Stegostoma tigrinum: one gene and its partner. The protein of the gene in region 2 interacts with the protein of the main gene of each other region in a pairwise test. Links are inferred from orthologs where the notes say so. Each region holds a gene or a part of one and is shown on either strand. Other genes may lie near its edges. The genes, in order: apoptosis-enhancing nuclease-like and aamp.

Region 1 (16,181 bases), on a different chromosome or scaffold from region 2:
CAGTGGCAACTCATTTCAAAGATTGACCTCTGAGTAAAAGAATTCCCTTTCAACTCCGTCCAAAATGTCATGTCCCTTTTTCTGAGACTGTGACCCTTGATTCTAGACTTAACAGTCAGAGGAAAAATACTGCATTTACGTTGTTGAGCCCATTGTATAGGGTCTGATAAAAGGGTTAAATCAGAGAGGTGATATAAGCCCACCTACTAATGTGATGCCAAATGGACTTGTGGGAAGAACAGCTTAAGATCTTCGTACAACTTTGTAGTCTCTGTAACAACGTCTGTCATATCAATGTAACTCGTTATTAGTTGCTTATTATGCTCTAAGCTAGTTCTTGTTCAATGCAAGAGCCTCTTCTAGGTGGATTGGGAAACGTTTTTCTCCATCAAATTAAGAATAAGTATCTACTCAGTCTAAAAGAAGATGGTGGAGAATTTACCACGTGGTGAGATGCAGACTCAGCTTCACTCCAAGTATGAAATCGTGAGCACTGGTGCAGATTTAAATTAACTTCAAATATAACAGAATCCTGTAATAACTTTGAATGAAGATCACTTTTCATCCTTCTAAACGTAACAGAATAAAGGGCCTGTCAATTTAATCTTTCCTCATAGCATACTCTCACCATCCCCTCAATTAATTTATTCCTGAATGGCCACATTCTTATTTTAAGATTATGTCTCTTTGTTCCCTAGATTCTGCCACCAGATATATCACTTGAAGTGAGTCCCATATCTGCTGGGCATCATGATTTGTGTGTGCTCAGGTGACTTGGCAGGTCCAACATGGAATCACAGATTCTTGGAGGTTCACGAATAAGGAGTTTCTCAGAGTAGGGTATGAAGTGTAGTCAGCATTGCTATGTGTTTAACAAGTCAATATCCATATGTTGATACAGGTGAAGCAAAAGGGCTTGATTGTAAATGCAAAGCTTAGTACAAATACAACTTTCCCTACTTTACCTGTCCAGAAGCCAAGACCCCAGTGGGGAAGAATTCAGCATTTTTTTCCCCACCACCAAATCATCCATGGTACTTTTCCTCTATTATCCACCATCAATATATCACCTATTTCTAACCAATCAAATTACACGCAAAGCCCAACATGCGCAATGAAGATTTCAACTCTTTTTCTTTCTTTATATATCCAGAAGCACTCTCATATACAAGTGAACTTTTTCTTGCCTATCACTGAATCGCTCGCTATATTTTCCCATGTGTTAACCCACCAGCAGTAAATCACTTGTGTTTTCCAACTGATTAATTTACATGCAAAGCCTGTTTAGGGCAATGTAGACCATCAAAGGAGAAAGACAGAAGCAGCTAAATCAAAATAAAGTTGGAAGTGGAGATTTCAACTCTTAAATAAAAGTCCAATGAGCATTGCCTGCTCTCAACCAACTTTGGAGCGTTTTTTTGTTAAAGGGGCCTTATTTTCGAAGACTGACATCATGCAGAAATTGCAAAAACCAATTTACAATTACAAATTCACACAGAAAACTCATACAAACAGTAACATGTTAACATCCAGATAAGATTTTTCTGTGATACTGACTGAGGAATAAGTATTGGCAGGACACTGGGGAGCACACCCTGTTTTCTTCCAAAATAGTGACACGGGATCTTTCACATTCATGTGCACTAGGAGCTAAGGCCTCAGCAATGTTTCATCCAAAGAATGGTCCTCAAACACAATGCAGCACTCCCTCAATACTGCACTGAAATGTCAGTCTGGGTTTCTCATTGTAAACATTTTCCATTTGGTGCACAAGAGTTAGATTTTTAGATTTTAAAGACATTAAGGTGAATGGGCAGAGTTTAGGAATATAGCAATTGAATGAAGGATCAGCCATGATCAAATTGAATGGCTTTCTCTTGCTTCTAGTTTCCATGTTACAATCCGCCATCTCCCACTTTTTCTTTTGTGTTCCTGAAGGGACTGATGTATGTTGGGATTTTGGTTTGTTTACAGTTACACAGCATACTTCCTGTTCCTTTGTGACTACTGTGTCTATATTGTGGAATTCCCCAACTCTCAGATTTGCAGAAGTATCTTCAGGACATAGACAGCAGTGGTTCAATAACATGGTTTATGTTCACATTTTCATCAGCAACTTAGGATGGGCTATAAATGGCGTGCGTGTTGAAAAATCCCACTTTCCAAGAAAGTCAGTTAACACTTCAGGTGGGTTAGTTTTCATCACTGATGTGAAATATTAACCCTGTTTCTCTCTCCATCCTACTGCCTGTCCCAGAGTATTTTTGGCATTTTCAATTCAGATTTCCAATGTTTGGAATATTTTACATTAGTTCATCAGCTGTGAGTTTGGGGTACCAGTTACTTTTGCCTTGAGTCAAAAGAATGCTTCAAGATGTGTCCCAGATACCTGGGCACAAATGTCTAGGCTGACATGCTGGTGCAGTAGGGACTGTGCAGGCTCTGTTCTTCAAAATTACATTGAATTAGTAAACTGGAGTGATCAAATCTGAATGGAAATTAAAGGCTTCAAGAATACAGGTAGATAGCATGTGTCTGTTCAATGCTGGATCTGAGGGTCTAATCTTAAGGCTCTGCACCAGAAACCGAGCCCTCTGGCAGAGTCCAAATCAGTAATTTATACTTTGTTTTAAGTAATTCTTTTTAATTTCTCTTCGCTGACATCCATGCTGTTTTGGAACTTTGAATGCTAGACTGAATTATACTTTCATAAAGAAAGGTATCAATTTTAAAACTGTATGAAATGTTTATGGTTAATATGCAAAAAGGATGGTTTGATCATTTCATATGTTCAATTTCCACTCATAAAAAGGAAGATGGTGTGGTCTTGCTTCAATTGTAAATTGGGATAACTACTACGCCTGAACCCCAGGGACCCTCTGACTGCATAGAATCATATTTTAAATTTACGAGTCACTGAAATTTCATTTCTATCTGTTCTGAATCCCAAATGACAGTAATTATACACTATTTCAACTGTGTTGAAAGCAATCTACAATTAGACCCGTGGTGATGTCTCATATAAAGGGACCCAACCCTATTACTCACAAAGCAAAGGAAAACTCATTACAGGTGTTAAAAGGTGTTGCGTGCCTTTTATAAAATATCATAGGTTGCAAAAGGTTAAATTAAGAAGTCAACGTCCAGGGAATTTATAGAGGGTGTGAGAAAAATAAGTTAGACTTTTAATCAGTGTTGAGTGTAGACCAAAACATATTTGTATCTGTACTGATGAAAGGGATACCTCTGATGTTGGAATTCTACAGGGGGAGGGAAAAGAAACAAGCTCAGGCTAACAAAAGCAGTGAGTATCTGAGCCATCTCAAACAAAAAGACCACCAAGTCTGTGCTAAATTTGTCACTTTCAATTGGCAATTCAACATCAGTCCACTGAAACAAGTTTAAAAACTTTCATTGATGTGGTGCCACTCACAAGGAGGGCTCTCATGACACAGTGAAATGTCCTTACCCCTGTATCAGAATACCTGGGTTTAAGCCCCACCTGTTCCAGAGGTGTATACTAAAAGCATCTCCACAGATTGATTAGGAAATATTTAGATGGTGCTTTTCATCACAGAATCACTGAGTTATTACAATGCAGAAGATACCATTTAGCCTATCATGCATGCAAAGAGAAAAAAACTGAGGGACTCGAACACAAAACCTGGAACAGCTCAGTGGGTCAGACAGCATCTGCAGAGGGAAAGAGAGTTAACATCTCACATCTGGGACCATCTCAGGCTTCAAACATTAACTCTTCTTTTCCTCAGCAGATTTCCTTGACCTGTTGTATTTTTCAGGTTTTAATTGTTTGTTTGGTGAATAGAGGGACTGAATCTCACACCTGAGAAAGGATCAAATCACTAATCAGGGAATGGATTTTGCAGCAAGAGCTGAAAACAATGCTTCAGATTTTGCAATATTTAATCGGGGGAATTTTCAGTTGTCTTGAGGTGCCTGCATTCCTCCAGTTTTGACCCTCTTGCACATCTCTGATTTCCATCCATTCATGATTGGTGAGAATGTCTTAGGCCCTAATCATTGGGTTCCCTCCCTCAACCTTTCCACAAACCCACATCTTTCTTTGCTTTTCAAACACCCTTTGAAACCCGCCTCTTTAACAAAACTATTGCTCCCTATCCTAACATGTGACACAACGTCGAATGCCATTTGATAGCACACCTGAGAAGCGGTTTGACACATTTTGCTGTACAGCATTAAATGTGTTATTTCAATGCAAGTTAATGCACTTTTTAAAAAAAAGTGTTGGCAGACCAATGCATCAAATGTAGCCAGGCAGGGGCAGAAACAGAAAACATGGCTTCCCAGTCTGAGCACAGCCAGCCCTGTAGAAGAGAAAACTAGTAAAATTTGCAAATGATATATGGTGGTCTGACTCACCTTGCACACATTAAAATGGAGCTCCAAAGTGATCAGTACATTCATTTCCAAGTATTACTTCTTTCTCTAACTGTTTTTAATCCCCTCTAGCTGTTTATTGGACCCGATGTACACCCCATCTTAAACCATGTAGCCAGGCAATTGTCAAAAATTGTAACGTCAAGACCGCAAGGGGAAATGAAAAATATTAAGAACTGTATGTTTTTATGTGTGTGTGTGTGTGTTGCAGAATGTGTGAATAGAAAGGGTAGAATGTGAAAAACTGAAAAATCTACAGTACCAGCTGTACAATGGTGACATCTACTGTCCAAAATCTTTAGCGTCCCACTGCTTCATATGAACTGGTTTTAAGCAATAGGCACACAGACGTTTGAGAAGTAAATAAAAATGTACCTGGATTGTTGCAGTAAGAGATGTGAATCAAATTGCAGTAAATTAGGTTGACACACAGGTCAACACAAATCCAACTGCATAGCAGAGCGTGTTCAGAGGCTGAATGGACTACTTCCGTTGTTGTGGGAAATAAAGGGAATTTTATGGAGTCATACAGTACAGAAACAGACCCTTTGGTCTGACTTGTCCACGTCGACTACATTTCCCAAACTAAACTTGTACTATTTACCTGCATTTGGCCCATATCCCTCTAAACCTTTCCCATTCATGTTCCTGTCTAAATGTCTTTTAAATGCTGTAACTGCACCTGCATCTATCTCTTCATGACAGTTCGGGATTTGAACCACACTGTGTGAAAAAGTTGCCCCTCAAGTCCCTTTTAAATCTTTCTCCTCTCACCTTAAAATTATGCCGTCTACTTTTGAACTCCTCTTCCCTGGAGTAAAGACCTTTGCTCTTCACCATGATTTTATAACCACTATAAGGTCACCTCTCAACCTCCTATGATCCAGGAAAATAAAACTCCTATTCTATCCATCCGCTCCTTCTCAAAACTCAAAACCTCCAGTCCCAGTAACATCCTGTTTTTGTAAATCTTTTTGACAGGGTAAATGTTGAGAGGATGTTTCCACTTATAGCAGAGTCTAAGATAAATGGGCATAGTCTCAAAATTAATAGATGCCAATTTATTACCGATATGACGAAGAATTTCTTCACTTAAGAGGGTTGAGGGTCTTTGGAACACCTTGCTGAAGACAGCTATCAACTATTAAGCCGACAGATCAGTAGGATTATGAGGAAAGGGCAGGAAAATGGACATGAGGAGTGTTGGATGAGCCACGGTTCAACTGAATGGTGGACCAGGCTTGATAGGCTTAACAGCTTAGTCCTATTCCTATTTCTTATGGTCTTATAAATTCAAACTTTTTTTGGAGCAGAAATCAATGTTAACAGAGTTTCAATCAGCAATTCAGGTACAAAAGACTGCAGTCTGCTTGATGTTTTTGTCAGTGAATCACAAACTTGTTACAGTGCCAGGTCTCTAAATGAGCATCTCTACAAAATAAAAGCAAAATACTTTAGCTGTTGTAAATCTGCAATAAAAATGGAAAATCCTGGAGAAACTCGGCAGATCTAGGGCATTATCTGTTGAGACAGAAACAAGATTTACTATTTGGAGTCTGACATGACCCTTCTTCTGAACTAAACAATGGCAGCTCCATGGAACTCTCTCACTCCAGTGGGAGAAGCATTCAAGAAAGTGTTTAAGATCTTGAATGTTTCCGACAAGCCCAAACGGTGGAGGAAGCATGTTAAAATCCAAGCATCCTGCCAGCTTCTTCAACACTCAGATGACCCTGCCATGGTAAGGTATGCAGATCCAGCACTGGGCTGTGAATCACCTCATGACCTGCAACTCTGGAGTGGATCTCTCAACCTCAGAGGGACTGACGAAGACTTTACAGTCAGTGTCCCTGGCCTGACCCTCAAGGCTACTCTCAGCACCTACCTGACACTGAAGCTGCCATTGGTCCGACCCCCAAACTTGCCCTCACCTCCATGTGACCCCCAAAGCCCGTCCCCACCCCATTTGGCCTCCAGCCGCTGGCGGCGCTGTGCGCAACTCAGGTGCCTCTCGGATTTCCCTCTTGCCCCTTTGTACACTTAAAAAAAAATTCCCCCAAAAGAGATATTAAAGCATATTGGCCAAAGGCAGCTATACCGAGACCGGTCATGGAGCAGCCACGATGCTAATGACCTTGTGGTCTTATCGCTAGAGTGTTAATCCAGACATCAAGGTAATGCTCTGGAGTCCTGGGTTCGAATCCCATCACGTCTGATGTTGAATGAAATAAAAGGGGATCCGGAATTCAGAATTTAATGATGACTGTGAAACCACCGTCAAGTAAATCCCACTTGGTTCACTAATGCGCTTTAGGGAAGGAAATCGGCCACCCTTACCTGCTCTGGCCAATACTTGACTCCAGACCCACACCAATGTGACTGACTATTGAGCAGTGAGAGATGGCCTTTCCGCCCTCTCCCTGACAACAGGGACCAGAAAAAAAATCCACGCCTGACGTAACGAACCTGATGACGACGGTGAACAATAGCCAATGGGAATCCAGGAGATTCAGCTCAGCCAATCAGAAGGCATTGAGCGTGACGGCTCCTCACTAGTCGTGCACGGAGCTGAGATGCATTTACCAATCAACTGTGTGGGACACGGCGTCCAATCAGAGAGCGGCATCGGGTGCTACCCAATCAGTGCGCAGTAGCCGCGGCACGGAGACCAATCGGAGCGCGAAATTGAGGGCTAACCAACCAGCATGCAGCTGCGGCGGCACAGCGGGTAAGTAAGAAGACCAGTCAGCATTCAGTAACCTTGGCACGGCGTCCAATCGGAAGGCGGGGTTGAGGGATAACCAATCATCGTGCAGTGACTGTGGCACCGCGGCCAATCGGCGTTCGATTTGTCGGAGGAGGCCAATCGGCGAGTGGAGACCTTAAACCAATGAGCGGGCGGAGCCTGGAAAGCATGTGGCAGAAGCCGGAGCCGGTGGAGCGGCGTTTGAGGGAGTGTGGGGCTTTGCGTTGACACCGGATGTTTGGTCGGGGGGAGCTCCCGGCTACCAGCGGGGCCTGCTGTACGCCACCGAGTCTTCAAGGCTCGCGGTTCGTAATCCTCGTCCCGGAGGCACGGTAAGGCTCAAGGGTTAATTTAGGAGCAGAGGCCTGTCTCTCTCCTGAATTTACAAGGTTAGAGGATGATCTGATCAAGATCAGGAAATGACAGCGTGGATTAAGAAAAAAAATAAATCAGTTACTAACAGAAATGACAGGGTACGTAGAAATAAATTATCTTCGAGAGGGAGTTGAAAACAAGTTGCTGGAAATGCTCAGCAGGTCTGGCAGCATCTGTGAAGAGACGTCAGAGTTAACGTTTCAGGTCCAGTGACCCTTCCTTTTCGAGAGGGCATATCCTGACAGCAGGGGCCAGACCCTTGAGGAGAGATTTCGTGAAGTATTTCCACACCCTGAGGGTGGTAGAGGTTCGCAACTCTCTGCCACAAACGGCATTGGATGCTGCATCAGGTTTTAATTTTATGTCTGTGATAGATTTTGTTCCCCCCCCCCCCCCCCAAACGTACTGAAGGATGTGGGCCAATGGATATAGGTCACAGATCAACCAGCATCTTAGTAAATAATGGCAGTGTCCCAAGGGGCCGAATGGCTTTCTGCTGATCAGTGTAGGAGTGCCGCACTGTCAGGGTGTCAGCGCCGAGAACGTCGGCACTGTCGTCAGTTTCTGAAAAAGATGGTGTGTAAATGCCAGCCCCTCGGCTGTGATTCACATTTTAAATGTTGTCAAACAGAGCTGAGTCAAAACCCTAAGTCCTCCTTCGTAAGCAGCATTTTGGATGCATCTGCTCAGCTATGACTTGCACACATCTGGATAGTGCCTTTCCACTATCTTCTGGAGGAATGTTTGGGTTGGGCAGCCAGATACTGGTCTAGCCAATGACACCCACACCTCATGAACGAGTACAAAAAAGTTGCATAATAATCACTGGGGGAAATGACCAGTTAATGTTTTGGATTGTATTGTTTGAGAGATAATAAGTAGTGTGTATATTCCTGTCCCCTGCCCTTAAATAATGCCACATGATTCTTTTGTCTGAACAGGCGGTTGGGGGGATGGGCTGAAGAAGGTATTTCAGACGATTTATCACTCGGTACTTCACTGATGTGTCAGTGTGGACTATGTACTAAAATCCACAAATGAAACCTAAGCTTCTTGCCTGGTAATAATGTGAAAGTTCTGGCAACAAATTAGTGAAGTCTAAATCACTATCTGGCAGAGCCTGATGATGAAAAATATTAAACTTACCTGTGCTGAGATTCATTAATATGCATTGACTGTTTCCTTCTAAACTCAGGGGACTGATAACTTGTTATTACTAGGAGTCTCCACTTAATTTAAGGGACTTGTGTTGATTTTGCAGATTCCAAGAAGTCTCCATTTGGACTAAAGAATGCCAAGTGTAGTTAGCATGCGTGTAGACCCTGCTGTACCCTCTTCTGAAGTCACAGACTTCAGGCTGCTCCCTGCATCTTCCAGGTTAAACCAGTTCCTCTGCTGCTCACCTGTGGCTGCAAGCCCCGATGGCCAGACCAAGCGCAAGAAGATACCAAGCCGGAGGCATGTGCGTTTCCTGGAGAGGAAGGCTTTCCTGGAGAAGGAAGGGATTCTCAAGCAGGGTCACATGAAAAGGAAGCAGCGACCTTTGAACCAAACAAGCTGTCCGAGCATCAGTAACCCAAACTATACACTACAGTCTGGAGATGCCACGCGATCAGGTGGTTCTGATGTGAATGGAGATCAGTCCCATCTGATTGGTGCTTCCAGTCCATGGCCTGAAGCTGAATGGAGAGATGTTCACTCTACTTGCTCTTCGAAGTTCATGGACCAGAGTGATAAAACTTGTCCTTTAGAAAGGAGAAATCTGCTGAATCCTGAGGACCTTTATGGGCTGCCACAAGCTGCACTCCTGTGCCAGACAAGTCTGTCACCCATCTGCTGTAATCCTGCCAAGTATGTGGCAATTGACTGTGAGATGGTTGGAACAGGCCCCTGTGGGCGTGTTAATGAAATGGCCAGGTGTAGCATCGTGAACTATCAGGGCCTAGTCATCTATGACAAGTATGTGAAGCCTAAACAACCCATCACGGATTATCGGACCCGCTGGAGTGGCATTCGAAAATGGCATATGGTGAACGCAATTGAGTTCAATGTTGCTCGGAGGGAGGTGGGTGTATTAAACATGTTGAATGTTGCATTCACTTAATACCCATTATCCCTTAGTCTGGAATTAATGAATTCATCACTCACTCCCTCTGGCCTAACATCCCTTATGCAGTGCTGAAAGACAACCTGTCTTTCAAGTAAGACATTACACCGAGATCCCGATTAAGTTTTGTGGTGCGGGGTTGTATGCAGAGAATCCCAGAACACTACTTTGCAGAGGACGAGGTGTATCTTAACTATTTTTTTGACCAACTTGACCCCAGTGTCTTGACCAATTTTTATCCCTTGATTAGCATTACTGTGCAAGAGTATCTACTCATTGTCACATTGTTTGTAAGCTCTGTAAATTGCTGGGTCTACAGACCTGCAGTTCCCTGGGGCATGTTATCAAAGCTGAAGCAGTGAGCGGTGATCACAGAAATGCTGCTGCTCACCCTGTTACTTCCCTAATGTATTTCATGTAATCACTGTTCCAGCCATGATGGGTAGGTCCTGCAGTATGAAGTAGACACATCCAGTTCACTGATATCTGACAGTAAGGATTTGAATCAGAAGCATTATTAAAACGATCTGTATGTGCTCTATTTTCGTATCTTTATGATGCTCACGATTTGTACTTTAGATGTTATAGGGTAGGGGGATTGAAATTGATGTTTGAAAAGGGGGTTCCTTTAACTGGAGAACATTTGAGAATTGCAGGTTCCCACGGATTCTGAGAGTTGATTCAATTCCAGAAAACTGCCAGAAATAATGTTTGGTTCAACCATATCTGATGATGTAATAGAACTTGTTATCAAAATATGAAATAAAAACAAAAAAGTTGCAAAAATTCACCAGCTCAAGCATCATCTACGAGCAGAGAGCAAAAAAACAGATTTAATGTACCTATTCTAGTCAAACCAATAAACCTACTCCAATGTGACTAACAGGCAACCGACAAACTGCAGACACACCACTCCCATAAAACAATTAAACCTTGTATCTTATTAAGAAAAATTATATTTGGTGTCAGTACTACCATAACACTTTGCAAGTTTCGAGGGGTTTTGTATTTTGAGTAATTTTCTTTTATTCATTAATGGGATGAGCATGTCCCTGGCTCGGCAGCATTTATTGCCCATCCCAACTTCAGAGTCAACCACATTACTGTGAGTCTGGAGTCACATGTAGGCCAGACTGGGTAAGTATGGCAGTTGCCTTCCCTAAAGTATGTTATGAACCAGATTGGTTTTTCCTGACAATCAACAATGGATTCCTGGTCATCATTAGATTTTTAACTCCAATTATTTTACTGAATTCAAATTTCATCATCTGCCATGGTGGGATTCGAACCTGGGTCCCCAGAACATTATCTGGGTCTCAAGGTTAACAGTACAGCGATAATACCACCAAGCCATCACCTCTCATTTATAGTGACTTCCCTTGTATGTGAGGTAGAATTGGAGTACAGCTGTGGTGAAGGAAGAGGACGTGATTATGGCTGGGCATTTTCAGCCTGCAGGGGTTTTGCCCAGGTCTGATGACACATCTGCGTGGATACAATTTAAAAGCACATTCATTCTGGGGGATGTCACTCTCAATATCTATTTATTCCCCCTCTCTTAGGAAGATCAGCCTCTGTCTTGAACTGTTGTCTGCGTGGTGAAAGGACACCTATAGTGTTATTAGATAGAGAATTCCAGGATTTTTCACCTAGTGACAATGCAGGAATAGCCATCGTGTGCCCAAACTTCTTAGGGGAACTTGACGTAGTAGATGTGGAGATGTCGTTCCTGCTTTTGGGACAATCCAAGACAAAAGTGTGTAATCGCTGAAATCCAAAGTTACACCACACCAGGTTATAGTCCAACAAGTTTATTTGAAATCACAGCTTTTGGAGCACTGCTCCTTCTTCAGCGCTGAGACTATAACCTGGTGTTGTATGATTCTGCCTTTGTCCACCCCAGTCCAACATGGCACCTCCACATGATAATCGCTGAGTAAGGGATCACCCATTTAAGACCAATGAGGATGAATTTCTTCTCTGAGGGAGTGAATCAGAGGGTACTGGGGTGAAAGGCAGGAAAGTAGAGTTGAGGATTATCAAATCAGCCATATTGTTATCTAATGGTGGAACAGACTCAATGGATTTGAGTGGCCTACTTTTGGTCTTGGGTCTTCGTGAGCTCAGTTAGAATAGTGCATGACAGGGGTGGGGTGCAAGCAGGGTTAGTAAATCTGAAAGGTAATAAACATGTTAAATCTGTGCTTTCATTTAGATTTTGAAGATACTGAAGGGTAAAATTGTTGTGGGCCACGCATTGCACAATGACTTTAAAGCACTGAAGTATTTTCATCCGACATCTCTGGTAAGGGACACGAGTAAGATCCCATTGTTGAAGCGGAAGGCTGGCTTTCCTGAAAGAGAATCCGTATCCCTGAAGAATCTGGCGAAGCAACTTTTGGGTAAAAGCATCCAGGTGAGTATATGAACTGACTATACGTTTACTCTGGGAGTTCTGTTCCACAATGTGGGACTGAGGGTGCATCAGAGCTGGAACACACACAACATCCATGTGGCAGTAAACCTTGGGTTCTGCCTTAGCTATACTCCCCCAGCATGTGCATTGATTGCACAATTCAACAGGAATATTGGAAATGGGAATAGGCTATTTGGCCCCTCAGTCATGGCTGATTTTCCAACTTGGCATCATTTTCCTGCCGTAACCCCACATTCCTTGAAGACTTTAAAGTTTAGAAGTTCATTATTTATCTTGGTGGGATTCAGTGAGTCTACTGAATTACTTCACTGGCTTTTGAGGATAGAAAATTCTAAAGGTTCACCACCTCTGAGTGGAGAAATTCTTCTTCTCTTTATCCTGAATTGCCTACCTCTTCTGAAATAGTGTCCCCTTGTTCTAGATCCCTCCAGCCTGGGGAACATGCTTCCAGCATCTAGCCTATTAAATCATGTAAGAATTTTGTATACTTCAGTTAGATCACTTCTCATTCTTCTAAATTCTAGAGAATACAGGACAGGCCTTCTCGATCTCTCCTCATAGGACACTCCCAAGGATGAGTTTCATTGCACACTTACTATGATAAGTATATCTTTCCTTAATTAAGGAGCCCAAGATTTTGGGTATGGTCTTGTCAAGACTTTACCAAAACCTTGCATTTACGTTGTGCTTGCAAAATCTTAGTTTGGTCTTTTCACGGCAGGTTACTGTTGAAGTGCATTTGGGTAAATGTAATTGCCAGATAGTACATCCACCACAACAACTAGACAAAGTTTCTTCTAACTTCTCAACTCTCTTCCTCGCTCCCAAACCCACTGATAAAATTCCATCACCTCCGACATGGATTATCTCTGCTACTGCACTGAAATGTGGGCCTTGATTTTGTATTTCGCTCCTAGGGTGGCTCGAACACATTACAAGCTCAGAGACGAGTGTTATCGACAGAATGCACGGGGAACTTACTGGCCTTACGTAACATGCAAGATTCCCTCTAATCTGCGCAGTTGCACACACAGGCGCAGCAGTTCTAAAGTTCCACGATAGGCATCCAGCACTCCAATCGCAGTTGTAGCTTCTGGTTATGGAGGTTGCTGCCAAGCGCAGACTTCAGAGGCCTTTACAGCCAGAAAGAAAATTAGAGAGCATGTTGATAATCTATCTGCATTTTTGCTCCATTGGGAAATCGGATCCGTTCAGCCATGAATTCTGCAGGATGTTTCCCCGACTCCCTTCCTGATCAAGTTAAAACCTGGGCCTGTCAGCCAAGGGGGCTTCCATTCCTGCTGCTTGTATCTGTAGAGTTGCGTATGTCTGGTGAGAACAGTGTAAGATTTTACATGGTGCCCCTCATAGTTGAAGTGCCTGCTGCCACTTCTCAAAACTTATGTATGTGAATTGAGCCCTTGGATAAGGTAATGTATATGGTGGGTTTTGTTTGCAGTTGTGGATCTGTGCTCTGTCAGTTGGGACTTCGGGGACAGAGGTGGGTGATTTTATTAGGAATGGTGTCAGGGAAATGATTTTCTCCTTGGTTTGCTGTCATTAAGGAGACTCAGAGTGCAGAGTTGAGCATAGTAGGCATTACAAAAGAGAAAGTGCTAGAAAAGCTGGAAGGTCTAAAAATTGATAAATTTCCAGGCCCTGATGGGCTACATCCTAGAGTTCTGAGGGAGGTGGCTGAGGAAATAGCAGAGGCTTTGGTTGTAATCTTTCAAAAGTCACTGGAGTCTGGGAAAGTCCCAGATGATTGGAAAATTGCTGTTGTAACCCCCTTGTTTAAGAAAGGATCAAGACAAAAGTTGGAAAATTATAGGCCAATTAGCCTAACCTCAGTTGTTGGTAAAATTCTAGAATTCATTGTTGAGGATGAGATTTCTAAATTCTTGGAAGTGCAGCGTCAGGTTAGTAAGGGAGGATCGTGCCTGACAAACCTGTTAGAATTCTTTGAAGAGGTAACAAGTAGGTTAGACCAGGGAAACCCAGTAGATGTCATCTATCTAGACTTCCAAAAGGCCTTTGATAAGGTGCCTCACGGGAGGCTGCTGAGTTAGGTGAGGGTCCATGGTGTTCGATGTGAGCTACTAGCTTGGATTGAGGATTGGCTGTCTGACAGAAGCAGAGAGTTGGGATAAAAGGCTATTTTTCGGAATGGCAACCAGTGACAAGTGGTGTCCCGCAGGGTTCAGTGTTGGGGCTACAGCTGTTCGCTATATATGTTAATGATCTGGATGAAGGGACTGGGGCATTCTGGCGAAGTTTGCCGATGATACGAAGATAGGTGGACAGGCAGGTAGTACTGAGGAGGTGGGGAAGCTGCAGAAAGATTTAGACAGTTTAGGAGAGTAGTCCAGGAAATGGCTGATGAAATTCAACGTGAGCAACTGTGAGGTTTTGCACTTTGGAAGAAAGAATACAGGCATGGACTATTTTCTAAACAGTGAGAAAATTCATAAGGCAAAAGTACAAAGGGATCTGGGAGTGTTGGTCCAGGATTCTGTAAAGGTCCATTTGCAGGTAGAGTCAGTGATTAAGAAAGCAAATGAAATGTTGTTGTTTATCTCAAGAGGGTTGGAATATAAAAGCAGTGATGTGCTTCTGAGACTTTATAAGGCTGTAGTTAGGCCTCATTTAGAATATTGTGACCAATTTTGGGCCCCACACCTCAGGAAGGACATACTGGCGCTAGAGCGTGTCCAGCGGAGATTCTCACGGATGATCCCTGGAATGGTAGGTTTAACATACGATGAATGGCTAAGGATCCTGGGATTGTATTCATTAGAGTTTAGAAGGTTGAGGGGAGATCTAATAGAAACTTACAAGATCATGTATGGCTTAGAAAGGGTGGATGCTGGGAAGTTGTTTCCATTAGGTGGGGAGACTAGGACTCATGGGCAGATCCTTAGAATTAGAGGGGGTAAATTTTTTAAAACGGAAATGAGGAGACATTTCTTCAGCCTGACAGTGGTGGGCTTGTGGAATTCATTGCCACAGAGTGTAGTGAAGGCCGGGACGTTAGATGCCTTCAAGGCAGAGATCAACAAATTCTTGATAGCGAGTTTTGAGAAGATTTGTAGCTCAGGTTGAGGTTCTGGATGTGAGTTTGCTCGCTGAGCTGGAAGGTTAGTTTTCAGATGTTTCGTCACCATTCTAGGTGACATCATCAGTGAGCCTCCGACGAAGCGTTGGTGTTATGTCCCGCTTTCTATTTATCTGGTTAGGTTTCCTTGGGTTGGTGATGCCACAGGAAATGACATCACCAACCCAAGGAAACCTAACCAGATAAATAGAAAGCGGGACATAACACCAACGCTTCGTCGGAGGCTCACAGATGATGTCACCTAGAATGGTGACAAAACATTTGAAAACTAACCTTCCAGCTCAGCGAGCAAACTCACATCCAAATTCTTGATCTCAGAAGGAATCTAGGGTTGCAGGGAAGTGGAGTTGAAATGCCCATCAGTCTTGATTAAATGGCGGAGTGGACTCAATGGGCCAAATGGCCTTACTTCCTCTCCTATGTCTTATGGTCTTATTTGTTCTTGTTGTGGCAGATTGGTAGAGATGGGCACTGTTCTGTTGAGGATGCCTGCACCTCGATGGAGTTGTATCAACGAGTGGAGAGCCAGTGGGAACAAAAACTGTGCGATCAGTTGTCGATGGCAAATGAAGAAGTGGCTTCTGAAACAAACTCTGAAATCAGTCGATATATGGATGACCAATACTGGCCCACTGATCTTCAGAAGGACAGTAAATGATGTGAGCATGTATTCTTCAGCTATAGAAATCACCAGCAAAGATGAAGCTTTGCGGCAGTTTAAACACTTGAGGTCATGAATGCATTCCCTTGGTTTCTTTGTTCTCAAGTCTTTGTAGCTGCTAACTAATGCCACACATGGTTAGTTCTCCCACACCGCTGTGATCTTTACCAATGCAATGGCTAATGGTCACAGACTGAGATTCGCTAATTCAGCTTATGTCTGGAGTTCTTCATCGGAACTTCCTGTAATTTGTGGCTCAGTGCTATGCAAAACGGTGTTGTCCGCCACCTAGGGTGTGTGAACATAATAAAGGAGAATGGA
Region 2 (16,596 bases):
GTCTGTGTTCTTAGTAACAGGAGCAGGAGCAGGAGCCTGGAGGAGGATGTTGGTATAATTGTAATATCACCAGTCTAATAGTCCAAAGTGGCAGCTGGTGAAACTTCAATTAATAAATCTGGAATTGAAAGCTAGATTTATCTCATTTTTGGTCAATCATTTTCCAAACCAGAAAGCAGGACTCTATCAGTCTTCCACACTTATTTACATTTCATAATTCAATACAAACTTTAGTCTACTCTCCTTTATACCCAATTCCTCTTAATACAGAAAATCAGTCCACATGTATCAATTAGCACATATTCCACTCATTAGTAGCTGCTCTATTACCTATGCAGTAAGTTCATTCTTAAAAAGCAAATTACATTTAAAATCTCAGTGATAGAGACCATGAAACTTTTGACAGCGTGGCGCTTCCTCAGTGCTGGCCCCTCCGAATGCATGGCATTCCCACAGCACTCAGCCTCTGACAGCACATCGCTCCCTCAATACTGACCATCTGACATGCACAGCGCTCCCTCTGTACTCTCTCTGGCAATGAACAGCACCATTGTAGAGGTGAGAGGTCTGAACCTGTTTAGAATACTTACCTGTACATTCTAGCAGCACCTCACCATCAGCCAATCTCCACACAAAGGCTGTATCATCCTCACCACCAGTCACTGCCAACGAATTACTCTTCGGGTCCAAACTCAAGCAGAATACTGCCTCTGGAAATAACAAGGATGTATGCTTTAACATTAGCTCATTTTATGCCTCCTCTCTCCTCCCATCAATTCTCCATTCTCTGGACTGCAGCACCACAGGAGTTCCCAGTCAACCCAAATGAGGAAATTGCCTCATGAATTAGTCCTTCCAAACAGCACAAGTGCTCAGTGGGATTCTGATTCATCAGATTCAGCCCTCCTTCAGCATCCAACAGGCTCTTGAGTAGTCACCAGATAACAAATATGAGCAGGAATTCTACTGGACTCTCCGAGGAGAACAGAGGAGATGGTGCAAAATGCAGCCTACCAACAAAACCAAATAAAACCAAAACACCGTAGATGCTGGAAATCTGGAATAAAAATAAAATGCTGGAAAAACTCAATAGGTTGGGCAGCATCTAAGGACAGAGAACCAGAGTTAACATTGAGTCTGACATGACTTCTTCAGAACCTGGAGAAACTCGATATTCTGTAGAGTTAGATTCACCTGATAAACATCCCAGAGGTCCTCAAATATTTGACTGAGATAATATCTACATTGCCTCCACCCAACTCCACCCTGCAGTACCCACCCAAGTAAGCAGCTCCACGTCCCACATAAAAACTTTTCAGTTACTTGTGTGCCTGGAGAAAGTCAGATCACTGTCATCTCGTACCACCTCCATGTTCTCATCATCTTCGGTCTCCCATTCCCCATCATCGTCATCATCATCTTCTTCCACATCATTCAGTAGGTCATCTGGCCAGAGATGTGGAGATGAAAAGGTCAGAAGATTGATTCATATCTTAGCACATCACAGTCTGTAGGAATCAGAGGGACAACCAGACATCATGATGCAGGGGTAACATCACTGGACTAATCACCTTGAACGCCAAGACAATGTTCTGGGGACATGAGTTTGAATCACACTGTGGCAGATGGTGACATTTGAATTTGATAACAAAAGCCTGAAACAAAGAGCTGCCCTAATGGTGACTGTGAAATCACTGTTGATTGATATATAAAGACTTCAGGTTCACCAATGTTCTTTAGGGTGGGAAACCTGCTGTACTTGACATCTACCTATAGTGACTCCAGGCCCAAAGCTCTGCCCTCTGGGCAATTTGGGTGGGCAATAAATGTTGGCCCAGTTTGTGATGCCCCAAATTCCATGGACTTTTTTTTTAAACCCATTGCTGTGGTAGGTGTGGGTGTATCTGCACTACAAACAGGTGGCTCAAGTGATAGTTCTTGTGATCACCCTGACAGGTGACATGACATGGAACTAGCCCTAAGGTTTTGGAGTAGATCTGTAGCTCAGGGTGTGGGTGTTGAGGTTTGTTGTTCCGCAGACGTTTCATTACCGTGCTTGGTAACATCCCCTGTGCAGCCTCTGATGAAGTGTCGGTGTGTTTTCCCGCCTGGCTTTTAAACTCTGGGGTCCGTTGCGATGGATTGCCTCACTTTGGGGTTTCCTCCGTAGCAGTAACGGTAACGAAACGTCTGCGGAACAACAAACCAGCTTGGCGAGCCAACCAACCTCAACAGTGAACTAGTGCTTCTAGTACATCACACTTGCAAACAACTAAAGAATGCATGATTTTGAGCACAATTGAGTCATGACACAGTGTTGTTGCATGGTCATAATGAGAAGCTCCTGGGTTCATCAAGCCCCACATTCAGGTAACGCTGAGCGTAACAGTACATCAGACTCCCCAAGCACCCCACTTAGTCTCTCTTCGTCATGCTGCCCCCATAGCCCGAGCACTTTCCATTACACCCAGAGTACATTGCCCACTAGAATCCACCATGCACCCAGATCTGAGCACGTCTCCTGCACTGTCTCTCACTTGTATATCACAGCCATGTGTTGACACCCATCTCGCCCCTGCCCCTCTGTGCGTTTCAAGCCCCCCTCCCCTATACATCTTGCCCCTGCCCACCTGTGCGTTTCACCCCCCCGACCCTACACATCTCGCCCCTGCCCCTCTGTGCATTTCAAGCCCCCCTCCCCTACACATCTCGCCCCTGCCCCTCTGTGCGTTTCAAGCCCCCCTCCCCTACACATCTCGCCCCTGCCCCTCAGTGCGTTTCAAGCCCCCCTCCCCTACACATCTCGCCCCTGCCCCTCAGTGCGTTTCAAACCCCCCTCCCCTAGATATTTCGCCCCGCCCACCTGTGCATTTCACACTGCCGTCCCTATAAATCTCCCCCTACTACGTTCACCCCCCCGATACATCTCCCCCTGCCCCCTGTACGTTCACCCCGTCCTCCATACATACCCCCCTGACCCTGTGCGTTTCACACTGCCTTCCCTATATCTCCCCCTAATACGCTTACCCCACCATACATCACGCCCCACACCTCTATACGTTCACCAGCCCTCACCTATACATCTCGCCACCGTACATTCAGCCCCCCAGACATCTCGCCCCTGCCCCTCTGTGCGTTTCAACCCCCCTCCCCTATACATCTCCCCCATGTACGTTCACCCCCCCATACATCTCGCTCCTGCCCCTCTGTGCGTTTCACTCCCCTCCCCCAAACATCTCGCCCCTGCCCCTCTGTGCGTTTCACGCCCCCTCTCCGCACATCTCCCGCGTGTACGTTCACCCCCCGATACATCTCCCCATGCCCCTCTATACGTTCACCCCCTCCTCTATACATACCCCCTGCCTTCCCTATATATCTCCCCCCAATACACTCACCCCACCATACATCACGCCCTACGCCTCTATACGTTCACCAGCCCTCACCTATACATCCCGCCACCGTACATTCACCCCCCCATACATCTCGCCCCTGCCCCTGTGTATTTCACGCCCTCCTCCCCATACATCTCCCCCGTGTACGTTCACCCCCCTTACATCTCGCCCCTGCCCGTGTGTTTCACAACCACCTCCCAATACATCTCCCGCGTGTACGTCCACCCCCCCAATACATCTCGCCCCTGCCCCTCTGTGTATTTCACGCCCTCCTCCCCATACATCTCCCCCGTGTACGTTCACCCCCCTTACATCTCGCCCCTGCCCGTGTGTTTCACAACCACCTCCCAATACATCTCCCGCGTGTACGTCCACCCCCCAATACATCACGCCCCTGCCCCTCTGTGTTTGACGCCCCCCTCGCCGTACATCTTGCCCCTGCCTTCTGCGCGTTTCACCCACCCGCCCCCCCATACATCTCGCCGCTGCCCCTCTGTGCGTTTCACACTGCCGTCCCTATAAATCTCCCCCTACTACGTTCACCCCTCCAATACATCTCCCCCTGCCCTCTATACGTTCACCCCCGCCTCGATACATACCCCCCGGCCCCTGCGCATTTCACACTGCCTTCCTGATATATCTCCCCCTAATACGCTTACCCCACCATACATCACGCCCCACGCCTCGATACGTTCACCAGCCCTCACCTATACATCTCGCCACCGTACATTCAGCCCCCCACACATCTCGCCCCTGCCCCTCTGTGCGTTTCACACCCCACTCCCCATACATCTCCCCTGTGTACGTCCACCCCGCTGACACATCTCGCCCCTGCCCCTCTGGGCGTTTCACGCACCCCCCCCTCCCCGATACATCTCGCCCCTGCCTCTCTGCGCGCTTCACGGCCCCCTCCCCGCACATCTCCCCCGTGTACGTCCACCCCTCCCGATACATCTCGCCCCTGCCCCTCTGCGCGCTTCACGGCCCCCTCCCCGCACATCTCCCCCGTGTACGTCCACCCCCCCCCCCCCACCAATACATCTTGCCCCTGCCCCTCTGGGCGTTTCACAACCCCCCTCCAAGGATACATCTCGCCCCTGCTCCTCTGGGCGTTTCACGCACCCCCCTCCCCGATACATCTCGCCCTGGCCCCTCTGCGCACTTCACGTCCCCATTCCCGCACATCTCCCACGTGTACGTCCACCCCACCGATACATCTAGCCCCTGCCCCTCTGTGCGCTTCATCCCCGCCTCCCCCAGGTATCACACCCCCCTCCCCCGCACATCTCCTGTGTGTACGTCTGTCCCTCCCAATACATCTCCCCCCCCCGCCCTTCCATATGTTCACCCCCACCGATACATTTCCCCCCCGCCGCTCTGTATGTTCACCCCCCCCGCCCCCCCCATACGTGTTCACCCCCCCATACGTCTCCCCCCCGCCCCCCCATACGTGTTCACCCCCCCCATACGTCTCCCCCCCGCCCCCCCATACGTGTTCACCCCCCGCAATACGTCTCCCCCCCGCCCCCCCATACGTGTTCACCCCCCGCAATACGTCTCCCCCCCCATACGTGTTCACCCCCCGCAATACGTCTCCCCCCCCATACGTGTTCACCCCCCGCAATACGTCTCCCCCCCCATACGTGTTCACCCCCCGCAATACGTCTCCCCCCCCCATACGTGTTCACCCCCCGCAATACGTCTCCCCCCCCCATACGAGTTCACCCCCCGCAATACGTCTCCCCCCCCATACGTGTTCACCCCCCGCAATACGTCTCCCCGCAATACGTCTCCCCCCCCATACGTGTTCACCCCTCGCAATACGTCTCCCCCCCCATACGTGTTCACCCCCCGCAATACGTCTCCCCCCCGCCCCCCCATACGTGTTCACCCCCCGCAATACGTCTCCCCCCGCCCCCCCATACGTGTTCCCCCCCCGCCCCCCATACGTGTTCGCCACCCGCAATACGTCTCCCCCCCGCCCCCCCCATACGTGTTCGCCCCCCGCAATACGTCTCCCCCCCGCCCCCCCCATACGTCTCCCCCCCGCCCCCCCATACGTGTTCGCCCCCCGCAATACGTCTCCCCCCGCCCCCCCATACGTGTTCACCCCCCGCAATACGTCTCCCCCCGCCCCCCCATACGTGTTCCCCCCCCCGCCCCCCATACGTGTTCGCCACCCGCAATACGTCTCCCCCCCGCCCCCCCCATACGTGTTCGCCCCCCGCAATACGTCTCCCCCCCGCCCCCCCCATACGTCTCCCCCCCGCCCCCCCATACGTGTTCGCCCCCCGCAATACGTCTCCCCCCCGCCCCCCCCATACGTGTTCGCCCCCCCCGCAATACGTCTCCCCCCCGCCCCCCCCATACGTGTTCGCCCCCCCCCGCAATACGTCTCCCCCCCGCCCCCCCCATACGTGTTCGCCCCCCCCCGCAATACGTCTCCCCCCCGCCCCCCCCATACGTGTTCGCCCCCCCCCGCAATACGTCTCCCCCCCGCCCCCCCCATACGTGTTCGCCCCCCCCGCAATACGTCTTCCCCCCGCCCCCCCCATACGTGTTCGCCCCCCCCCGCAATACGTCTCCCCCCCGCCCCCCCATACGTGTTCGCCCCCCCCCCGCAATACGTCTCCCCCCCGCCCCCCCCATACGTGTTCGCCCCCCCCCGCAATACGTCTCCCCCCCGCCCCCCCCATACGTGTTCGCCCCCCCCGCAATACGTCTCCCCCCCGCCCCCCCCATACGTGTTCGCCCCCCCCCGCAATACGTCTCCCCCCCGCCCCCCCCATACGTGTTCGCCCCCCCCCGCAATACGTCTCCCCCCCGCCCCCCCCATACGTGTTCGCCCCCCCCCGCAATACGTCTCCCCCCCGCCCCCCCCCATACGTGTTCGCCCCCCCCCGCAATACGTCTCCCCCCCGCCCCCCCCATACGTGTTCGCCCCCCCCGCAATACGTCTCCCCCCCGCCCCCCCCATACGTGTTCGCCCCCCCCGCAATACGTCTCCCCCCCGCCCCCCCCATACGTGTTCGCCCCCCCGCAATACGTCTCCCCCCCGCCCCCCCCATACGTGTTCGCCCCCCCCCGCCCCCCCCATACGTGTTCGCCCCCCCCCGCCCCCCCCATACGTGTTCGCCCCCCCGCAATACGTCTCCCCCCCGCCCCCCCCATACGTGTTCGCCCCCCCCCGCCCCCCCCATACGTGTTCGCCCCCCCCGCAATACGTCTCCCCCCCGCCCCCCCCATACGTGTTCGCCCCCCCCGCAATACGTCTCCCCCCCGCCCCCCCCATACGTGTTCGCCCCCCCCGCAATACGTCTCCCCCTCGCCCCCCCGCAATACGTCTCCCCCTCGCCCCCCCCATACGTGTTCGCCCCCCCATACGTCGCCCCCCCGCCCCCCCATACGTCGCCCCCCCGCCCCCCCATAAGTCGCCCCCCACCCTCCTACGCGTGTTCACCCCCCCATACGCCTCCCCCCCGCCCCCTCCTACGCATGTTCGCCCCCCACCTACACATTAACGCCCCTCCCCCTCTCTATGTTTACCCTCCTCCTGCGGCTGTTGGTTGGGATTCAGTTCGATCACTTCCACAATCTCCTCGCCTTGGTGTAACTCCAGCTGGGGGCTCAGCTCCCCCTCTTCCATTCTCCCTCACGTCCCTAGTTACCGCTCACCTAGTTACACTAACTGACTTAACCCGGTCATGTTGACCAGGCGGCTTTTCGCAGGCGCCCTGTCGAGGCCCGACTCACCAACCGGAAGGTCAATGTATGATTGACAACGTTTCCAGCCAATCCAGAACCGGCTTTCGGTATCACCCGGACAACCGTGAGGAAAGGAATATCCGGGGTTCGGTTCCGTCTACACGCCGCGGGACTCCCTGGGAGTTGTAGTCCTGCCTTGATGGAGGGCAAACCGTCTCTGATTCCTCCTCATGGAGTCTTTCTTCCCAGATCGCTCCTAAGTGTCATCCGTTGGAGTAAATCAAGTCGAATCGTGAATTTGAAGTCCCGTCTCACCAGCGGCTGTATCTGCGCATGAGCCGTGAGGAAGTTGCCGTGCTCCCCGCTGCTTGCCGGGATTCTGGAGGATCAAGATGGCAGTAGCTGGGAGGACCTGTTCCAGGAGTAGAGGTAATAAAATGTGAGGCTGGATGAACACAGCAGGCCCAGCAGCATCTCAGGAGCACAAAAGCTGACGTTTCGGGCCTAGACCCTTCATCAGAGAGGGGGATGGGGTGAGGGAACTGGAATAAATAGGGAGAGAGGGGGAGGCGGACCGAAGATGGAGAGAAAAGAAGATAGGTGGAGAGGAGAGTATAGGTGGGGAGGTAGGGAGGGGATAGGTCAGTCCAGGGAAGACGGACAGGTCAAGGAGGTGGGATGAGGTTAGTAGGTAGCTGGGGGTGCAGCTTGGGGTGGGAGGAAGGGATGGGTGAGAGGAAGAACCGGTTAGGGAGGCAGAGACAGGTTGGACTGGTTTTGGGATGCAGTGGGTGGGGGGGAAGAGCTGGGCTGGTTGTGTGGTGCAGTGCGGGGAGGGGATGAACTGGGCTGGTTTAGGGATGCAGTGGGGGAAGGGGAGATTTTGAAACTGGTGAAGTCCACATTGATACCATATGGCTGCAGGGTTCCCAGGCGGAATATGAGTTGCTGTTCCTGCAACCTTCGGGTGGCATCATTGTGGCAGTGCAGGAGGCCCATGATGGACATGTCATCTAGAGAATGGGAGGGGGAGTGGAAATGGTTTGCGACTGGGAGGTGCAGTTGTTTGTTGCAGACTGAGCGGAGGTGTTCTGCAAAGCGGTCCCCAAGCCTCCGCTTGGTTTCCCCAATGTAGAGGAAGCCACACCGGGTACAGTGGATGCAGTATACCACATTGGCAGATGTGCAGGTGAACCTCTGCTTAATGTGGAATGTCATCTTGGGGCCTGGGATAGGGGTGAGGGAGGAGGTGTGGGGGCAAGTGTAGCATTTCCTGCGGTTGCAGGGGAAGGTGCCGGGTGTGGTGGGGTTGGAGGGCAGTGTGGAGCGAACAAGGGAGTCACGGAGAGAGTAGTCTCTCCGGAAAGCTGACAGGGGAGGGGATGGAAAAATGTCTTGGGTGGTGGGGTCGGATTGTAAATGGCGGAAGTGTCGGAGGATAATGCGTTGTATCCGGAGGTTGGTAGTAGAGGTAAATCCCCGTCTCCCTTTGAGGAAGGTCACTCATGGAGGAGGCGTCTTAGGGAAACAGGGAGTATCTATCACACATTCAGTTATAGAGGGAGACTGGATCAGTTGGGATTATATTCAGTGGAATTTAGAAGGAGGTGGGATTTGATAGATAGTTCTAACAGGGGTAAACACAGGAAGGATGTTCCCAAATGGTGGGGGAGACCAAAACCAGGCGGTCACAGTCTAAGGATACGGAGTAGGCCATTTCAGACTGAGGTGAGAAGAAATGTGAGATGGTGCACTGAGGCAGGACAGGCAAGGTAAGGAAATACTCGATGAATGGTAAGACAGCTGGGGAACACTGAAAAGTAGAGGGACTTTGGTATGTAAATTGGTCCCATAAGTTACCAGGGCAGGTGAATAAAGTGATCAAGAAGGCATATGATAAACGTGTATTTATTAGCCAAGGCAAGGCCAATTATAAGAGAAGGGAGGTGATGCTTGAAGTGTGTAAAACCTGGGTTAGGCCACAGCTACAGTACTGTGTACAATCCTAGAGCTCACTCTGTAGGAGAGATGTGATAGCACAGGAGAGGATGCAGAGGAGATTTACCAGGATGTGCCTGGGCTGGACAGTTTCAGTTATGAAGAGATATAAGAAGAGTTATATACAAATCTTCTCAAAACTTGCTAGACCAGGTTAACTTATCTTCCTGCAGAGGAGATTGAGAAGGGACATAGTTGAGATATGTAAAATTATGAGGGCCATATATCGAGTGGTCACGAAGAAGTGATCAAGGGATCAATGACTGGGGGACATAGCATTAAGAGAAGAGGCAAGAAGGTTTCACGGAAATAGGTTTAACATACGATGAACGGCTAAGGATCCTGGGATTGTATTCATTAGGATTTGAAAGGTTGAGGGGAGATCTAATAGAAACTTACAAGATAATGTGTGGCTTAGAAAGGGTGGACGCTGGGAAGTTGTTTCCATTAGGCGGGGAGACTAGGACCTGCGGGCACAGCCTTAGAATTAGAGGGGTTGAATTTAAAACTGAAATGAGACGACATTTCTTCAGCCAGAGAGTGGTGGGCCTGTGGAATTCATTGCCACAGAGTGCAGTGGAGGCCGGGACATTGGATGCCTTCAAGGCAGAGGTCGACGAATTCTTGATCTCACAAGGAATTAAGGGCTACGGGGAGAGTGCAGGGAAGTGGAGTTGAAATGCCCATCAGCTATTATTAAATAGCAGAGTGGACTCAATGGGCCGAATGGCCTTACTTCCACTCCTAAGTCTTACGGTCTTAAATGTGAGGAAAATCTTTTTCAATCAAAGGGTGGTGGGAATCTGAAATTCACTACCTGTAAGGGCAGTAGAGGCAGAAACCCTCATCACATTGAAGAAATATACAGATGTGCACTTGTGATGCCAAGGCATACAAGGCTCTGGGCCAAGTGCTGGAAAATGAGATTAGAATTGTGAGGTGGTTATTTTTGACCAGTATGGACGTGATGGGCTAAAGGGCCTTTTTCTGTGTTGTAGATCTCTAGGACCAAATTTCATTGCCCACAGTGATGTGTCTGTGGAATTCCCTTCAAATGTGATGAACCGAAGTTTGGAAGTAGGGTCACTGGACCTGAAACATTAAATCAGCTTTCCCTCCATAGATGCTGCCAGACCTGCTGAGTTTCTCCAGCTACTTCTGTTTTTGTTTCTGATTTTCAGCATCCACAGTTCATTCAGGTTTTTTTTATTGTTGTGAGGAACACTGCTTCTCAACCTCTCCCTTCACATGAGGCATAGTGACTCTCAGGTTAAACCACCATCAGTTGTCTCTCTGTCTTAATGAGAGACAGTACTATGGCCTGGGAGGACTATGGTCACTGTACCTTTTACGTAAAGATCTTGGGGCGAAAAAGATCAATGGATATGGGGAGAAAGCAGGAACAGAGTGCTGAGTTGGATGATCAGCTGTTGATATATTGAATGGTGGAGCAGTTTTGAAGGGCTGAATGGCCTACTGCTGCTCCTATTTTCTGTGTTTCACTATACATAGTGTAATGGCAATATAGTTCCCAGTCAGGATGGTGAGTGGCTCAGAGGGGAACTTGCAGGGGCCGGTGTTCCCATGTATCAGTCCTCCTTGTCCTTCTAGATGGAAGCGATCGTGGGTTTGGAAGTGCGGTCTCTGCATCTTTGATGAATTTCTGCACAGCAGTTTGCAGATAGTACACACTGCTTAAAACTGAGTGTCAGTGGTGGAGAAAGTGAATGTTTGTGGATGTGATTCTAAGATTCTTGAGTGTTGTTGGAGCTGTACCCATCCAGGCAAGTGGGAAGTATTGCATCACATTCCTGACTTATGCCTTGTAGGTGGTGGACAGGCTTTGGGGAGTCAGGAGGTGAGTTATTTGCTGAAGAATTCAGGGACTCCAATTTATTCCTTTTCATCTTTTACCTCAACAAACATCACCATGGAATGTTGTTGAACATCTTGTCCCATTGCATTCTCCTCTGTGTCCAGCTGTTTACACAGGAGGCCTCTTCATAGATGCTTTGACCTATATTCTCTTCTTACCTTTCACCTGGTCCTCTCCCTACCTTTCACCTGGTCCTCTCCCTCTGTCTTCTTACTTGTTGATGAGACTCCTTAATTTTTTTGCTCCCCTCACTCACTGTCACCTGTCAACTGCAGAACTTGCTGAACTCTGTTCTCTCAGACCTAACCTTGACGTTGTTGTTAATCCTGCCACTGTGTGCAGGGAATGATCCCTTTGCAATGCTGATAACCCCCAGGATGTAGATTGAGAGATGTGTTCAGGCTCGCTGACATTGTGGAGTAGATGGTTACAATGATCAGTCCAATTTGCTCTCCAACACCCTTTCTATTTATTGCTGATGGGACCTACAGCGCGCAAGACAGCTTGTCAATTCTGATGCTCAGTTGGTATATGCCCCATCTTAGTTACAGACCAAATATTACTGTGTAAGCACACGTCAAACCTGATCAATCGGTTATGGTGCTAGGAGTCTGCTGTTCCTGGGAGGTTTAATGTAGTGAGGAGACAAAGGGAGGGAGAGTGTGAAAATGACGGTGACAGTTTGTGGCATGTGGGCCTCGCTAACATATCCAGCTTTTTTGCATGTCTCTAATTTTCCTTGAAGGGAGTGCCTTACTCAGCCAATTCAGAGGGTAGTTAAGAATCAGCTTCATGGCTGTGGGTCTACATTCATGTGTGGGCCAGACCAGATAATGACAGCAGATTCCCTTCTTCATGGACCATGTACGGCAACAGTCATACAGCATGGAAACAGATCCTTAAGTCCAACTTGTCCGTGCCAACCCTGTTCCCAATTTGACCTAGTCACACTTGTCTGCATTTAGCCTAAACCTTTGCTATTCGTGTACCTAATGTCTTTTAAATGTTTAACTGTATCTGTGTCTGCCACTTCCTCATTCCACATACAAACTACCATCTGTGTGAAAACGTTGGCCCTCAGGTCCCTTTTAAATCTTTCATCCCTCCCGTTGAACCTAAGCCCTCTAATTCTGACCTCTCCCACCCTAGGGAGAGTTCAAAACTGTTGACCAAATCCATGATTTTATAAACCTCCTATGCTCCAGTGACAAAAGTCTCCTTACACTTCAAACCCTCCAGTCCCAGCAACATCCTGGTAAATCTTTTCTGGATCCTCTCCAATTTAATAATATTCTTCCTACAGATGGGTTTTAATAACAAAATGAAATCTCTTCACAGTCACTGAGACAAGCTTTCATTTTCAGTTTTATTAATTGAATTCAAATTCCATCAGGGACCGTAAATGGGTTTGAACCCATGAACCCAGAGTGTTCACCTGTGCCTGTGGCTTCACTAGATTAGTCAGATTACTACCATGTTTCTGGTTGTGTCACTGCCTCAGGCTAAGTGATGCCTGGACTCAGCATTGCTCTCATTTACCTTTCAACAATCACCTTGACCCATTTGTCTTTATTTTTCCAGGCATTTGGAGCTGCTGTTTGTCCAAGTTCGGGGCCTGTGCCCCTGGCACCCCCCTGCCAGTGCACAGTTGTGTGGCCACAGTTCTGCGAAACAGTGTACAATCCATCCACTGTAACCATGGCAACAGACCAGTGTTGCGGTCAGAAGAGGCTCCTGGAAAGCCAATCCCACAGGGTCCAGAATACATTCCACAACGGAGAGCCAAGAATCCAATGGGAAAGATCGGCCTGGCCTGGTAAGAATGTGTAGAATGTGAGTACAAGATGAGGGGAGACCAGTTCTGATCATCACAGTTCCCACCCGTCAGTTCTTTGTGATCTGAAGCCAATGATGGCAGGCTTTCTAGTGGCCATAAGGCTCTTGCAGTCTGAATTCACTGATCCACACCAAGAGTCATAGAACTGTACAGCATGGAAACAGATCCTTCAGTCAATTCATTCATGCCAACCCGATATCCAAAATGAATGTAGTCTCATTTGCCAGCATTTGGCCCGTATTCCTCTTAAACCCTTCCTAATCATGTATCCATCCAGATGTCTTTTAAATGTTTTAGTTATACCAGCCTCCACCACTTCCTGTGGTAGCTCATTCCATACACACACCACCCTCTGCGTGAAAAAGGTGTCCTTTAGGTCCCTTTGAAATTTTTCTTTTCTCACCTTAAACCCATGCTCCCTAGTTTTGGACACCTGTACCCTGGGGAAAAGATCTTGACTATTTACCCTATCTATGCCCCTCATGATTTTATAAATGTCCATAAGGTCATCAGCCTCTGATGCTGCAGGGAAAGTATTTTCCTGGCCGATTCAGCCTCTCCGTACAGCTTAAACCCTGACAGCATCCTTATGGGTCATTTCTGAATCCTTTGAAGTTTAACAACATTGTTTCTTTAGCAGGACTTGAGGGGCATCACTCTCACCTTTCTATATTACCAACTAAAGTGAATGTCCACAATAACGGAGATTTGTGTAGACATAAGAATTAGGAACGGGAGTAGGCCATTCCATAAGGTCACGGCTGATTTGACTTTAACCACAGCTGTGCGAACTCCAATAACCTTTCACCTCAATTGCTTGGCACCTCTATCTTGAAAAGATACAGAGACTCTGCCTCCACCACCTTTTCAGGAAGAGAGTTCTGAATGATTGACACCAAGGTCTGTGTGGGTGCACAAAATTTACAGGAAAGGGAACCAACGGCACTGACAGCACAAAGAGGCCTAGGTCATCACAGGGGGCCTTGGCCTGCTAGAGTCTGTCTTTACAACTGAGGGAAATGGTGCTTTGTAAGCAGGGAACAGAGTGAAGTGTGGAATACTGAAAGCAAAGTAACAAATGAAATATTTATGTGTTTAGCATCTGTTTCAGGTGGATAATTCACCTGTGTTGCATTATTGTTTGAAAAAGGACAGATTGACCTGTAGTTACTCAATCAGTCTACCTTAATTATTCTCAATATTTGAAATTAATGTCATATATTGGTTTTGATCAGTCTTTCCAAATAACAATCAGGACAGATTTGAGAAAAGTTCGCCATTGCGTTGACCTAGCATCTAATTATCCCTTTGAGAAGGGAAGGTCCTGTCTGACTAATTCCATTCGGTTTTACGATGAGGTAACAAGGGAGTTTCATGAGCTGGATAAAAGAAAACAAAGAATTTATGGATGCTGAAAATCAGAAATACAAACAGAACTCATTGGAGAACCTCAGGAGATCTGTCAGCATTTGTGGAGAGAAAGCAGAGTCAAAGTATTGGGTTCAGTGACCCTTCTTTGGTTTTGCTGAGTTCTTCCAGCAATTTCAGTTCAATGATGTGAGTAGGATTGATGTCACCTGCATTCGTTCTTGTGAAGTTTTGTATCAAGTCCCACATCAGGAGGGGCGAGGGGTGCTGACCAGAAAATTAAAATCACAAGCAATCCGAAGCAAGGTGTCAGCTTTGTCCAAATTTGGCTCGGGGACAGAAGCAAAAAGTGATGGTTGATAGGCATTTGTGACTGGACAGGTCAGTTACACAGTGACAGGTCCGCACTAAGGTGAGCCAGTTAAGGGTGGGTCTGTCAAGGGGTCAGTGTAAGTGAAGCTGGCCAGTACTTGCTATCTTTTGTTATCTGCTTTTGCTGTTATGTTCTGCTGAGTTCACATTGGCAGCTTTCAAATTGTCCTGTAAATCCTACCCATTTCCCTGCTCGTTTCTCCTCCAGGTTAATTGGTTTGCCATCCGGCATCATCACCTTTCTCCTTGCTAAACGAGAGGTTGATAAGAACCGTCTGAAACAGTTGAAGATCAGGCAGAGGATAAAGAATGCCAATGAAGGCGAATACCAGAGTGAACGATACCAGTCCAAGCTGGAGGAACATGACCGGCAGATCATCGCCTCACAAAGTAAACCATAGAATCCCTGCCGATGGTCAAAATGCCCAGCACCTCTCGCTTCCCACTTGCCCTCAGGGAGGCTGCCAGTCTTCAGTCTCTCCCACTCTCAAATTATTAAAGAAACTCAATGGACAAACTCAGTTATGGACTTGGCTTTTTTTCCCCACATCCTGGGAATATTCTTGATAGTGGGGGTGCTGGGATGGAGGAGAAAAGTTTATATTTGTGTTGACCTGACATCTAATTATCAGACAACCTAATTTCTGCACAAGTGTGTCGGAAGACAGCTCTGTATCTTCGATGGTTGTACATTATGACCATCACGTAGTGGGACTAGTTTGGGGATTGATACAGGGCTATGGGAAAGACAAGCAGGGCAATGGGATTAGTTTGGACGAGATAAAGGGCTATGAGAAGGGGGAGAGACAGTTGGATTTGTTGAGTTATAACAAGGAGCTGTTACTGTAATATTGTGCCAAACAACCTATGCTGCAAGAGATAACACAGCAGGGAGCTGGAGAAGCACAGCAGCATCAAAGGAGCAGGAAGTTGACGTTTCCGGTCAGAACACTTCAGAAATGGGGGAGGGGGAAGGGAGATCAAAACTAGATTATTTATTTTGGAACTCCCTTCCCCCTCCCACATTTGAGGAAGGGTCACCAGACCAGAAACATTAACTCTTTTTTTTACTTCACAGACCTGCTGGGCTTTTCCAGCAACTTCGTTTTTCTTAGTACCCGTGAGCAGCCTATGCTGTCAAGTGCAATTCTGTTGAAGTTGAAAAGTTGTCATATGTTTAACAACCACTAGAAGGTGACACTGAGCCACAATCAGGCAAAATAATGTATGGTTTCGAAGGAGTGGACGCTAGGAAGTTATTCCCGTTAGGCGGGGAGACTAGGACCCATGGGCACAGCCTTAGAATTAGAGGGGATAAATTTAAAACTGAAATGAGATGACATTTCTTCAGCCAGAGTGTGGTGGGCTTGTGGAATTCATTGCCATGGAGTGCAGTGGAGGCCGGGACGTTGGATGCCTTCAAGGCAGAGATCAACAAATTCTTGATCTCACAAGGAATCAAGGGCTACAGGGAGAGTGCAGGGAAGTGGTGTTGAAATGCCCATCAGCCATGATTTAAATGGCGGAGTGGACTTGATGGGCTGAATGGCCTTACTTCCACTCCTATGTCTTACGGTCTAAAAGTCCATGACAGAATATATAACTGGCTCCATCCCCACCTCTTTGACCTGTCTGTCTCCTCTCCACCTATCTTCTCTATCCATCTTCTATCAGCCTCCCCCTCTCTCCCTATTTATTTCAGAATCCCCTTCTCTTCCCCAATTTCTGAAGAAGGGTCTAGGCCCGAAACATCAGCTTTTGTTCTCCTAAGATGCTGCTTGACCTGCTGTGTTCATCCAGCTCTACACCTTGTAATCTCAGATTCTCCAGCATCTCCAGTTCCTACTATCTATAAAACTGTTTCTTTTCTTGAAGAACCAGACATAGAAAATAGGAGTAGGCCATTCGGCCCTTCAGGTTTGGGCAATCAGACCACTTATGCCTCTGTTCCCCCTTTCACCCTATTCTTTTTGATCCCTTTAACCCTAAGAATTATATTTCTTTCTTAAAAACATTGTGTTTTCTACTGAACTGCTTTCAGTGGCAGG

Evidence for each region.
Region 1: the proteins of aamp (region 2) and apoptosis-enhancing nuclease-like interact in binary tests that used the Homo sapiens proteins (3 or more experiments, as listed by UniProt). The link is inferred for Stegostoma tigrinum from reciprocal best matches to the Homo sapiens genes AAMP and AEN.

Annotation. Positions count from the first base shown.
Region 1 is NC_081386.1:28,562,486-28,578,666, forward strand, and holds apoptosis-enhancing nuclease-like, read left to right. Parts: upstream 1-7,387; 5' UTR 7,388-7,497; intron 7,498-8,801; 5' UTR 8,802-8,831; coding exon 8,832-9,605; intron 9,606-11,862; coding exon 11,863-12,063; intron 12,064-15,653; coding exon 15,654-15,857; downstream 15,858-16,181. UniProt on the Homo sapiens protein: Exonuclease with activity against single- and double-stranded DNA and RNA. Mediates p53-induced apoptosis.
Region 2 is NC_081360.1:104,051,279-104,067,874, reverse strand, and holds the start of aamp (angio-associated migratory cell protein), read right to left. Parts: upstream 7,484-16,596; 5' UTR 7,039-7,483; coding exon 6,939-7,038; intron 1,447-6,938; coding exon 1,324-1,446; intron 711-1,323; coding exon 591-710; intron 1-590. Other genes in the region: si:ch73-71c20.5 (DUF4748 domain-containing protein), read left to right, coding at 7,490-7,526, 12,553-12,787, 14,757-14,949. UniProt on the Homo sapiens protein: Plays a role in angiogenesis and cell migration. In smooth muscle cell migration, may act through the RhoA pathway.